Caenorhabditis elegans: one gene and its partner. The protein of the gene in region 2 interacts with the protein of the main gene of each other region in a pairwise test. Each region holds a gene or a part of one and is shown on either strand. Other genes may lie near its edges.

Region 1 (7,619 bases), on a different chromosome or scaffold from region 2:
GCTTTCTCGTTCCAACTGTTTTCGTTCTCTTTCAATTTTATTCTTCATTCCTTTTACTTTCTTTTTAATTAGAGAACGATCCGAGTGATTTTGAATTCCCATTGCCTAAAAAATATTGATTCAGATAAACAATTTCAAGTGGTGTGATTTCCCAAAATTGTGGAAAATTTGAAAAAGTTGACGTCACATAAGGTTTATAGAATGCACCTATTTTAAGCCTTGTATATTCTAGGCACTTTTCAGGTAGGCAGACTGTGCCTACTAGACCTGAAGGGTTTTTGGGTTTGGCACAAGAAACTGAAAAATCAAAAACAAAAGTTCAGTCTCTCTTGCTCGAAAAGTGACATTTCTGTTGTTTTTATGAAATAGAGTGTAACATAAATATTGAATTCATTTCAGAATTTTCAGGAATCTTTTTCTCGGTTTTACCCAAAAAACCGAAAAGTTTAAAAAATTTTAGCACCTTGGTGCCTACGAAATAGTTTAACTTTTCGTTATGTAATTGCAGCGTTTTTTTTTTCTACCCGAGTTTTCTTGCGCCGGGATCGTATACATCTTACTCACCTTCAGTTTATTTCCGTCGAGCTCGAGGAACTTGGCTCCATCGATCTTATTAATGGTGAACTCTGGCACATATTTGTCCAAGCCCATTGAAACGAGCAACTGACAAACATCGTCCACCGTCCAATGAAGAGCTTGAAGACCAACTGGTTGACACGTGGCACGCCAGAACTCGTTTTCGGCGTACTTCTTTCGGAGTGGGAACAGAAGTTTGCGATGCGTCAATTTATGTGGAAGAGCCGGAGATGCTGGCTCGGAGATACGAGGGACTGGCGACTCGCATGGTGATGAGTACTCTTCTGTCCAACTACTTCCAACTGATACTTCCGCATCTTTTTTGGTTGATGGAGTCTGGAAATGAAAATGGGTGTTATAATTAGTTTCTTACTTGGGCTTAGGCTTAGTCTTAGTCTTAGGCTTAGGCGTAGGCTTAGGCTTAGGCATAGGGCCTACGCTCAAGCTTAATTTTAGGCATTATGTGAAAACTGTTTTAGAATGAAGTTTGAAGATGAATGTTCTTTCATATTTTCTCCAACTTACAATAGTCTCCAAATTAACCATAACAGCCTTATCCTCGTGAGGAAGCTCTCCACCTGGTCTATACGCCATTCCTTCATTCCTCTTCTCAACTTTCTCCTTTAACTTCTCTCTCAACTCGATAAGCTCAAGATTCTGAATAGAATGCCTTCTCTCTTCAGCTTCTTCCAATTTCGATTCCAACTCATCAATTCGTTCTTTCAATTGACGAACTAATGATGCATAATGTACATCCTTATCTCTCAATTGTTCCACATGATTCTCTTCTCGATTCAACAACTCTTTTTCTCTTTCCTGATAGTTTTTAATCATATAATTTGCCTGCTCATTCTGCTTTTCCAGTTGATCACAATGTGATTTCGTTGAGCTCAACACTTCATGATATTGCTCTGCTTTCTTATGAGTAACATCAAGTTCCAGTTCAAGAGCAGCAATCTTCGAACGAATCTCAATTTCTTCTTTTGTGATCATTGAAGTTGTCGGACGATCCTGTTCAATTGGTAGCTGTGGCATTTGAGATGGTGGTGGTGGCGGCTCTTCGATATCGTCTTCCTCGTCTCCCATCATTCTCATTCTGTCGTGTTCAAGACTTTGTTGAATTAGCTGAGCAACTTCGGATTCTTCAAGGTTTTGTTCGCGACCTGCAATACATTTTTTTTAAATTGGAAGATAACTGGTAAACATAATTGAAATATTTTCTAGATGCTTTTTTTCTCTACGCTTGCGCGGAATATGGTGTATTGAGTCGCTGTTGCACACAAAAATATTTGTGTTATTTCACGGAGTCATCAATGCAATATATCATACGCGTTCGGCACAATACTCCAAAAAAAACCAACCAATTGTGAAAGTGACTCGATTGCTGGTGGATCTCAACGTGTTTGCAGCATACAACTGTGAGACACCGACCAAACTCTTTCCATCGACTGAAACAATTTGATCGCAGACACGAATTCGTCCATCTCGATGAACAGCTCCGCCAGGTGTGATGCTCTTTACAAAGATTCCCAGCTTTTCAAGACCCGAGTCTGCACCAACACCCATACCTGAAACATAACGAATTTATCCGAAAACCGTAGGCAGGCAGAAAGCATATAATTTTTTCCTAAACAGTAGCTTCAGGTTGACATTCCTTCAAGTTTAATTAAGCGCTTATATCTCGGTTATCTTTGGTTATGCCGAGAAAAGAAAGTTTCCAACTATAAAAATGAAACAGAAACTGTGAGCAACATCCGATTGTAACCGAGATACAAGGCTTCTAAGTTATGGTAAGCCACAATACAATCACTAACCAATAATAGAGACTCCAAGTCCCTCGGCACCCTTTTCCAAATCAACTTCAAACAAATCCATTCTTTCAAGTCGTCTCTCCAATTCATATTCAGCACAACTTGCCACCGGATCAATGTCTTCATTCTTGCGATCGTAGTCTTCAACGGAAAACGCCGAGAAGACCTGAAAGTGAAAACGTTTAGATATTATGCAAATGAAGATCGCTTTCTCTTTCTCTTTTTCTCTTGTTCCTCATCTCTTATCATATCAATAAGGTGACCTAATTCGAGATTGTATAGATATATCTATTAATGAATTAATATCACCTTGCCACATATATGTAAACAAAAGGAAATGTTAGGTTGTGGTGGTCAAGTTTCAGTGAATGCATGTTTGCTCTATTGATAGTTTCAAAAAGATTTTTCTCGGCCACGTTTCAATCTGTCTTGGCCTAGAAAAAGTATAAAATTATTTTGAACATCATACATTCCATAGAGCAAACTTGCAACAACAAAGAAACATGAGTGAATGGGAAAAGTGGGTGATCTTACCGGAATAGGTGCAGTGCTGAACGAGACCTTTCGATTCGTTAAATCCACGTCAGGCCTCTCTGGACTCAGACCCCTCCGTGTTTCCATGAGTCCTCTGTTTTCTGATGTTGTTTCAAGTTCTGTTTCCTTTGGTGTTTTGACGACGGCGTATGTCGTGTGCTTCACTCCATTCGTCGTTGGTGAGATTCCATCGTTTTCCTCGCCAAAACTGAAAAAAAAGTTTTGATCGAAGAAATTTGATTATTTATATTAACAGCAACTCATTTTCATGAAATGATTGGTTTTTTCAGGTGCCTGCATATATTAAATTTACTAAAAAAACAATCTGGCGCAAATCGTATCAAATTTTTAAATTTTAAAAAATGTGAATGTCCGATAAAAAATCGGCGTTCTAAAAATATATCTAGACACACTAAATGAATTTTTATCACAAACACAGTGCGGTTTTTTAAAAACTTAAGGTTACGATAGATCCTTCATAAGCTTGCCAACAATGGGCTTGAAAAGGGTTTTTACGGTTCCAACGAGCCGATATGTGAGAAAACTCGGCCACGCTATTTTAGCAATTTCTGTAATCTTAATAGATTTTTCAAATTGAAAAATTCGAAAATTTCAAGATATTATGTGCCATCACTATTCTGAAAGATCCAAAGAAGACCGTGTTCCTGAATGAATCAAAAATTTTACTTTTAGTTTTGTACTTTGGAAAAGTCACAAGGATCTTTTTTTTAGCAAATTCAAAAAAAATCCCGAATGAGAAATCTAAGAAAATATGCTGGCCAAGTTTCTGGTTTTTTCTAGGCCACATTTTTTTTCGAAAAAACACAAATATTTGTTAGTCGCAACTAAAATACTTCAGCGCAAGAAAAAAAACTATTATAGAGAAAAATAAAGAAACTCATGCGAGAAAGTAAGAAAAATAAAAGAAGCGAAACACATACGGTTTGCCATTTCCTTCGAATTGCCTCCGATATATTGATCCATTTCTCCAATAGGGTTCAAATGAATTCATATTAATATTATTATTATTGTTGTTGGTTTGAAGTCCTCCATATTGCGACGTGGCAACCGTATTTTCGAACGAATACTGCTGTGTGGAATCGGAATATGATGACGGAAGAGTTGATGATCTGAATTGGAAAAAGAAAAGGCATGCGAAGCTGATAATGAAGCAAAGAAGAATGTTAGTTGAAATTAAAGAAAAAACAGAGATTTTGGTTTTTTTTTCGATTTGAAAATTCAAAAAAGTTCCTTTAAAAAAATTCTCAACTAATTTATCTGAATTTCGCACAGTTTCCTAGAATTTCTGAAATCTAGTTGCAGGCGACTTTTTGTAACTACCAAAAAAAATTAAAATACTTTGGCCCGCGAACCGAATGGAGAAAATTGCGATTGATCAAAAAAAATTACAGTTACATTTTTTTGAGAATTAAAAAAAAGTTATGGTATGGTAACAAATCCTTAAAAAAACAACTCACTTATTTTGTATAAACCTAGACGTTGCCGGCGATGATTGGATCCGATCGAGATCCGCGGCCAAATCAGAGAAATTTCGTTCGACCTGGAAAAGTTTTCGAGTTTTCGATTATGTGTTATATGCGTGTGTGTCTGATGGGGGAAAGGAGTGTGTGTGTGATATGAGTAAATGCCATTATTTTTGAATCTATTATCGATGAGCGGATTAGTCAACCGAACAGTATAACAGAGACGGGGGTGTTGGAGACACAAAACATTGACTAACTGACACAGTCTTTGAATTTTTAAATTCCATTTCTTTTTCCAGAAAACAGAAAGAGAAGGAGAGAGAGAGAAAGAGAGCCATGTGATTGTTTGATCACACATACCTGTGACATCGGACTCGGCGGACATTGAGATGGAGGTTTTGGGGGTAATGGAGGTGGTGGTTGACGTTGAAGACGTGGAGAGTAGAATGATGGAACCTAGAAACATTATTTTTTAATTGACACTACAGTAGTCTGCTTGCCCAATTTAGAGTTTGTTTTGGAAAAAGCGTGGCGGGCATCTGATGTTTGAAAAAGTTAGCTTACTATTAGCTCAGAAGTTGGCAAAATTTGGGCAAGACTTTGAAAATACTGGGTTTAAGCTGTGTTTAACAAAACTTGAGTTATAAATATGGTAGAAGTCTAAATCAAGTCGACAGTGTTTCCAACTTTTGACCCAAATTAATAATTGTTGAGCAAAACTTGATCATAGGGAAACCTCTTTTTCAGACATTTTTCAGACGTGACGTCAAATTTCTTAAACGTGAGGCTGTGAAGTGATACAGAAACTGGTAGTCAGAGTATCTCTTTTCCGAATGATCTCCGAAAACTTCGCCAAATTTAGACGCAGACTTTTCAGCTGGTGATCTAAAGAGCGGGGACGTCATACTTTTTCACTTTTCCTGTGAGCAAAATTCCAGCAATTTTCATAGATCAAATCAAGAGAGGGGACTTATTCTTTGAAGGCCTAAGTGAAGAATCTACTAGCAGGCAAAACTTGTTCATAGGGAGCTACAGATTTGATCTATATAGCCAGGAAAATCATTTTGCGAAAAATTGCATAAAAATTCTGGAATATATGCTCTAATCCACAATTTAGTGAGTTTTTTCAAGAAAAATAAATAACCGTAATGCAAAATAGCAAAATGATTTCAAAATTCGGAAACCAATTATTATCATCCAAAAAAAACTCACGTCTTGCTGTCTCTCAAGCTGCTCAAAAAGAGCCTTTGTATGTGAGAATCGAGCTCTTGCGTCGTCTGACAGCAGCTCGGAAGCCGTTGTCATCTCGGCTGTTTGGATTGAATTAGGCAGCTGTAAAATTGAATTTTTCAAAAGGTGGAAAGGTTGGGGAGCGGATATAATTCGTATCAGTTTAGGGGAACTGAGGAGCGAACGGGCGGTACGGGAAAGGGTGTCAATATCCGAGGATATTGCATAACCTTAACAATAAAGGACCGTTTTGCGCGCATGTCTTCTCCGGTTGGAATGACCTGAAATGATATTCCCCCGTGAGATTTGTCTGCGACTCACCGTCTCGCACACTATTTTGTTATCAGCAGCGGTGCGCACGACGCATGCACCGCCCACTTGCTGTTGTTGTTGTCCCGGCGACGTCTTCTTTTCTGAAGAGATTTTCAATTTCAGAATTGATTAGAATATTTCCGAGGCTTGGAGAAAAGAAGAAGAAGAGGAATGACAGAAGGATTTACGGGAAAGTGAAAATATCTATTTATTCATAATTATATTCTTTTTCGTCTCCCGGGTGATAACTGTGATAAGGATCAGGTTTTTGGGCACCGGACGGGGTGGTTGGATGAGGACTAATTGGATTGCGTTCATTTGTGTGAAGAAGGAAAAGCGAAATTCGGATTCAGAGCGGAGGCAAGAGGAAAGTGGAAGAAAAAAGGAGATTAAAAGGGAAAAGGTGCCAAAAAGTATAGAGAGTCTAGACTCGATATAATCAAATCAATTATTGAATTAGAATTGTCGCAAAAATCAGAAATTTCGCAAATAATTCTGGGGATAAAAATTTAAAGTTAGATCACAGATACGAGGTGTTCCTAGACGTAGGAAGGCACCTCTTATTCGCCTTTCTACTCGCCCTATCTGAACCGCACAGCCGAACCATTTTTGAATTCAATTATCAATTCGCCATATTTTACGGTACATCAGTGCAAATGCGCTCTACATTGATCCAAAAAATTAGTATTTTTGAATACTTTTTTTGAAGTCACGAAATTGGACCACCGATTTTTTGGCCCAAAAAATTTAACCAAAAAAAAATAAGCTCAAACTTCAGGGTATCAGATAGGCAAATTTGACCGTGAGGGTGTCGGCCAATAAGGTTTGATGTTTGAATTTATTTTTCAACTAAATCTTATTTTGAAATATTAGGAAAACAAAATGTTCTACATATCCTTAAAATCCAAAAAAAAATCAGAGATGAAGGAAAGTATGTTTTTGATGAAAAATTCTCAAACACCCGACATTCATCAATCATCACAGAACGGGGGCTCTCAATCTTTGTTTTTTTCCTCACTTTTCTTTTCACATATTTATTTTTACAGATATAAAATTAAAAGTGTCCATTCTAAGAAAAGATTTTTTAGAATGAATGAAGGAAATAATGAGAAATGAGGATGGAATTGAGCATGTAAACATGACGACGAGGGAGGCTATAGATATATTTACGGACTGGCAAAAAATTGGAAAAATATTTACTTGGAGCCAGAAGCTTTTGGGAAATGAGTGTGAAAAATATGGAAAAATCTGGAACAAATAGCAATACTTTTCGAGTTTTCTTTCAGCATTCTAGATAAGTTTGCAAATAAAAAACCCAGCTTCTATACTGGAGGGTGTTCTTAAATTGACGAAGGTTGCTGAAATTGGCTGAATTTAAATTTTCCGAGCGCAAATTGTTTCAGGTGGGAATATATTTTCAAGCCTTTTTTATTGCTTTGGCTACTATTGATTTGAGTACTACATTTTCAGTTTAAAAAAAACTGTCAAAAAAATTCTGCAAAAATCAATTTTGGAATTTAAAATCTCTAAACTTGCAAAAAATATGCTGAAAAAAATTTTTAAAATTCAAACTCTGATTTTTTTCAAGTTCCAATAAACTTTGAACTTTTAAGAATAAGAAATGTCAAGAAACTGACGATGTCTACAAAAATAAACGAGCCGGAATGAAAGT
Region 2 (4,682 bases):
ACATTTTTCTCAATTTTCTGAAAAAAAAATTTTTTTTTCTAAATTTTAAAATTTTCTAATTTTTTTAAAACCTTCACATAGGTTTTCAAATATGCGGAATTCGATTTCTTTATTTCAATTTTTCCAATTTTTCCCTGTAAAGTGATAATTTCCAGCCTTACCACTCAGCATCCCATCGTGCCAGTGAATGGGAGTAGTCGGCCGGTCCAAATCCTCATCTCTATTGTTCAGAATAATTAATTTGTATTTTTCACTGGGTGAAGTAGCAATTTTAATAAATCCAATGCACATTTTGGAAAACTCTGGAAAAAATCCGAAAATGAATTTTTAATTGAATTTTTTGAATTTTTTGAATTTTTGGGTGAAAAGTGTTGGAAATTTGCAAATTTTGAACAAAAATGAGAAGTAGTTTGAAGAAATGAAAAATTCCAAAAGAAAATTTCCAAAAAAAAAAATTTCAAAAAAAATTTTTTTTCAAATTTTTTCAACATTGAATATTATCAGTGCTACAATACACATATGACCACAATATAGGCTTCAGTGCAAAAGTTTTTGCAGAAAAAAAGTTTATTCCCGGGGAAAATAACATACAAAGTACACACAGAAACGCGGGAAAAAATGATGACATTTTCTTTATCACAAAAAAATATCAGATAAGAGAACAATAATCAGAGATCATAAAACAATATATACACTGGAACAATACAAAAAAGAAAAGATAAATAATTTTTTTCCAAATTTTTTTATTTTTGAAAATTCCATAAATTTCATATTAAATTCAATTTTTCCTTTAAATTCTGAGCCTTTTACATTTTTTCTGGAGCTTCTAGCCCAAAATCTAGAAATTTGGGTTACTGTAGTTTTGGAAGTACGCAAACACCGGATTCTACGGAATTTTGCACAAAAACGCTGAAAAGAATGATATAGATGTGAAATTCGTCGGAGAGCTCGAATTTCACACTGAAAAAATGTTTAAAACTTCGGAAAATGCTGAAATTTCAGATTTTTGGATTTATATTGATTTTCGACACTAAAAATTGAGAATTCTCATGTTTTAATGTGCAAAATTCGAATTTCCCGTCGAATTCTGAGTGAGAATCGTTTTTCCCGGTATTCTAGCGCTGAATTTGAACATTTTCGGGTACTTCACACTGCAAAGGTTGAAAAAATCTCAAAAAATGCTGAAATTTCAAGCATTTAGAATTTTATGGTATTTTCCGCAGTTAACATTTGGTATTTGTATACTTTACTGAAAAATTCGAAATTTTTATCGAATTCTGAGCTAATCCGTCTATTTATAGGCTTCTAGAGTTAAATTTGAGAAATTTTGGGTACTGTAGCGCCGAAAGCACGCAAACACCGACTACCGTACTCAAAACACCGGACTTGACGGAATTTTGCACTAAAACTCTGCAAAGTTGCTACCCGAGGTAAAAGGTGATGAAAAACTAGAATTTTACAATAAAATCTCATCAGAAATTGCAGAAAATTTCGAATGATTTCTCTGACAATGTCGTTTCAAGTTCTTTTCACTATCACTGCTATATTCGCATTTCTCGCATCGAATTGATCCTCCTTTAATATTCATTCCACGTTGAAAATGTGTCTGATGATTTGTTTGTTTTCCATGTCTGAAAATATTTAAAAATTTAAGAAAAATCGTGAAAATCTGTAAATTTTAGAGAAAAATCGATTAAAAATCTGCAAAAATCAATAGAAACTGTTTTTGGTAACTACTAATTTTTTGGGCGCTGCTAATTTTTTGGGCGCTGCTAATATTTTAGGCGCTGCTAATTTTTTGGTCGCTGTTAATTTTTGGGCGCTGCTAATTTTTTAGGCGCTGCTAATTTTTTGGCGCTGCTAATTTTTTAAGCGCTGCTAATTTTTTGGGCGCTGCTAATTTTTTGGCGCTGCTAATTTTTTGGTCGCTGCTAATTTTTGGTCGCTGCTAATTTTTGGTCGCTGCTAATTTTTGGTCGCTGCTAATTTTTGGGCGCTGCTAATTTTTGGGCGCTGCTAATTTTTTGGCGCTGCTAATTTTTTGGGCGCTGCTAATTTTTGGTCACTGCTAATTTTTGGTCGCTGCTAATTTTTGGGCGCTGCTAATTTTTGGGCTCTGCTAATTTTTTAGGCACTGCTAATTTTTGAGCGCTGCTAATTTTTTGGGCACTGCTAATTTTTTAGCCGCTGCTAATTTTTGGGCGCTGCTAATTTTTTGGTCGCTGCTAATTTTTGGTCGCTGCTAATTTTTTGGGCGCTGCTAATATTTTAGGCGCTGCTAATTTTTTGAGCGCTGCTAATTTTTGGGCGCTGCTAATTTTTTGGTCGCTGCTAATTTTCTGGGCGCTGCTAATTTTTGGGCGCTGCTAATTTTTTGGGCGTTCTCACCTGTAAAGTGCTTTTCGATTAGGAAAACTCCCCGAACATTCCGCACAAATCGATTTTTCCCCGCAGATTTTTATCGATTTTTTCGGAATTTCCGGTGGTTTTTCTGGCGGTTCGGCGGGAATTTGAATTTTTCGCTCAATTTTTCGGCGAGGAGGTCGTGTCGCGTGTTCGGCGGTTTTTCCGTGTCTGAGAAAATATTTTTTTAAAGAAAATTTCTGTTTTTTTTTTAAATTAAAATATAATATACCTGTAAAGCCCTTTCCGATTGTTAAATGCATCTCCACACGTAAAACAGTACAATTCTCTAGGTTGTGACGTGACGAACGACGATGACGTAGTAGTGTCTAATGCCACGTCATCATAGTAGATGAAATCCTGCGATGACGTAGACGGCTCCAGGTGACCGAGAAAATCAGCGGCGGATGGATCCAAGAAATCTTCCTGAAATGATGAGAAATTGCAGCGCCCAAAAAATTAGCAGCGACCAAAATTCCAAATTTCCCAAACTTTTCCCTAATTACGTACCACCATATGTTTTCCCATATCCACTAGACATTCTTCCTGTGTATTTTGGAAGTTATCCTCAATAAATATCACACTTTGTGTCATTTCTTCAACTGCTGCGTCCATACGTTCTGGAAGTACTTTTTTCAAAAAATTAAAAAAATTTTGCTCGTCTCTACAAACCTATTGCTTCTGAAAGATGAACGTCTGGTAGTTGTGAAAATTCGTGTTTGAGTTGCTCTAGGTGTTCTAAGAAGCTTTCCATCTGAAAATTAGTTGATCGTGGCGGGACCCCCCAGAAATTCGAATATTTTCTGAAATTTTCAAACTTAGTCATGATTATACTTTTTCAAACCGCAGTGGTCTTCTGATTCCAAAAATTTACAGAAAATGGGTCTCACCACGAAAACCAGAAGTTTTCATGGCCGGACCCAAAAATTCAAACTTTTCAAACCTAGTCATGATTATACTTATTTAAACCGTCATTTTATACTAATTTCTAATAATGTCAAATGAAATCGATTGCTCGAAAATTCACACTTTTCGTGGCGAGACCCAAAAACTCGAAAAAATAAATAAATTCGGAGTCTAGTAATGATTATACTTATTAGAACCGCCATTTTATGCTGATTTCAAAACTATAAAATTTCAGGAATTTCGATCGAAAATCACCGAGTTATCCTAGTTTTTCTGATTTTCGCGGCGGGACCCAAAAATTTAAAATTTTTAAATAGTCGTGATTATACTCATTCAAACCGCGCATTTCATGTCAATTTGAAAACTATTATGAACTAGAAATTTCGATCGAAATTTGCCGAGTTCCGCTAGTTTTTTGGTTTTCGTGGCAGGACCCAAAACTCAAAAAAAAATTAATGAATTCGAAACCTAGTCATGATTATACTTATTCGAACCGCTGTGATCTCCTGATTTCAAAAACATACAAGAAAACCAGCGGGTTACTGTAGATTTCATGGCAAGGCTCAACTTTTACAATTGTCGTTAAGTTATAATGGAAATTCGAAACCATATTGTGTAAAAGTGACTCAAAATTGAAAAAAAAAAACAATTATTTATTTATTTTGAAAATTAAAAAAATTCAAACAAAAATCCAAAAAAAAAAATTTTGAAATTTTTTATTTCAAAATTTAAATTTTTCGCATTTTCAAAAACTAAAAAAAATTTAAAAAATCATTTCAATATTCCATCGTATCCTGCACAATAACTTCTTCTTCTTCAATAATTTGTTCATGATCCCACACTTCTTCTTCTTGTTCCTGATGTACAATATGGTGGTGGTGCTCCACACCGAATCTCTGCTCCATTCTAGCCAAAAGCCCGTCGGCCCGGTCTAAAACCGCCGAAAATCTGTCCTGATTTTGCATTTCTCGTCGAATAAGCTGTAATTTCAGCTCGTGAAGGTTTTCAGCCGATGTTGATGACGTGGATTGTTGGGGTTCCGGTGGGAAGGTGACACGTTTTAGTAGCGGTGGTGGTGATGGGGCAAGGTTTCTGGAAAAAAAACTTTTGTTAAAAAACATTAAATATGATATTTCTTATTGAAAAATAGAAAATAGAAATTTGAGATTTTCAAAAAAAAAAAATTTTTTTTTCAAAATTTTTATATTTAATTTCGAATTCCGTACTTCTGCAAATTTTCTACCACAGGATCCATAGAACCAGTAGCCTCCACAAATTCTTGTTCCTCATCAGCAATTTGTTGATATCTCGAGTACTCCTTAGACTCTGTTCGTACTCCATTTTGCTTGAAAGCTGGCTCAAATTGAATTGGT

What was found.
Region 1: the proteins of ztf-20 (region 2) and nab-1 interact in a two-hybrid assay, tested with the Caenorhabditis elegans proteins (one large-scale study listed by BioGRID).

The regions. Positions count from the first base shown.
Region 1 is NC_003279.8:4,228,006-4,235,624, reverse strand, and holds the start of nab-1 (Neurabin-1), read right to left. Parts: upstream 6,049-7,619; 5' UTR 5,957-6,048; intron 5,740-5,956; exon of another isoform or gene 5,738-5,739; 5' UTR 5,711-5,737; coding exon 5,618-5,710; intron 4,862-5,617; coding exon 4,766-4,861; coding exon of another isoform or gene 4,682-4,765; exon of another isoform or gene 4,483-4,681; coding exon 4,400-4,482; intron 4,052-4,399; coding exon 3,863-4,051; intron 3,130-3,862; coding exon 2,922-3,129; intron 2,554-2,921; coding exon 2,391-2,553; intron 2,145-2,390; coding exon 1,938-2,144; intron 1,740-1,937; coding exon 1,102-1,739; intron 913-1,101; coding exon 565-912; intron 106-564; coding exon 1-105.
Region 2 is NC_003283.11:18,957,016-18,961,697, forward strand, and holds ztf-20 (C2H2-type domain-containing protein), read right to left. Parts: upstream 3,158-4,682; coding exon 3,076-3,157; intron 3,033-3,075; coding exon 2,914-3,032; intron 2,830-2,913; coding exon 2,636-2,829; intron 2,575-2,635; coding exon 2,389-2,574; intron 1,632-2,388; coding exon 1,457-1,631; 3' UTR 552-1,456; downstream 1-551. Other genes in the region: hrg-10 (DUF833-domain-containing protein), read right to left, coding at 162-291; Y39B6A.43 (DUF4124 domain-containing protein), read right to left, coding at 4,086-4,401, 4,536-4,682.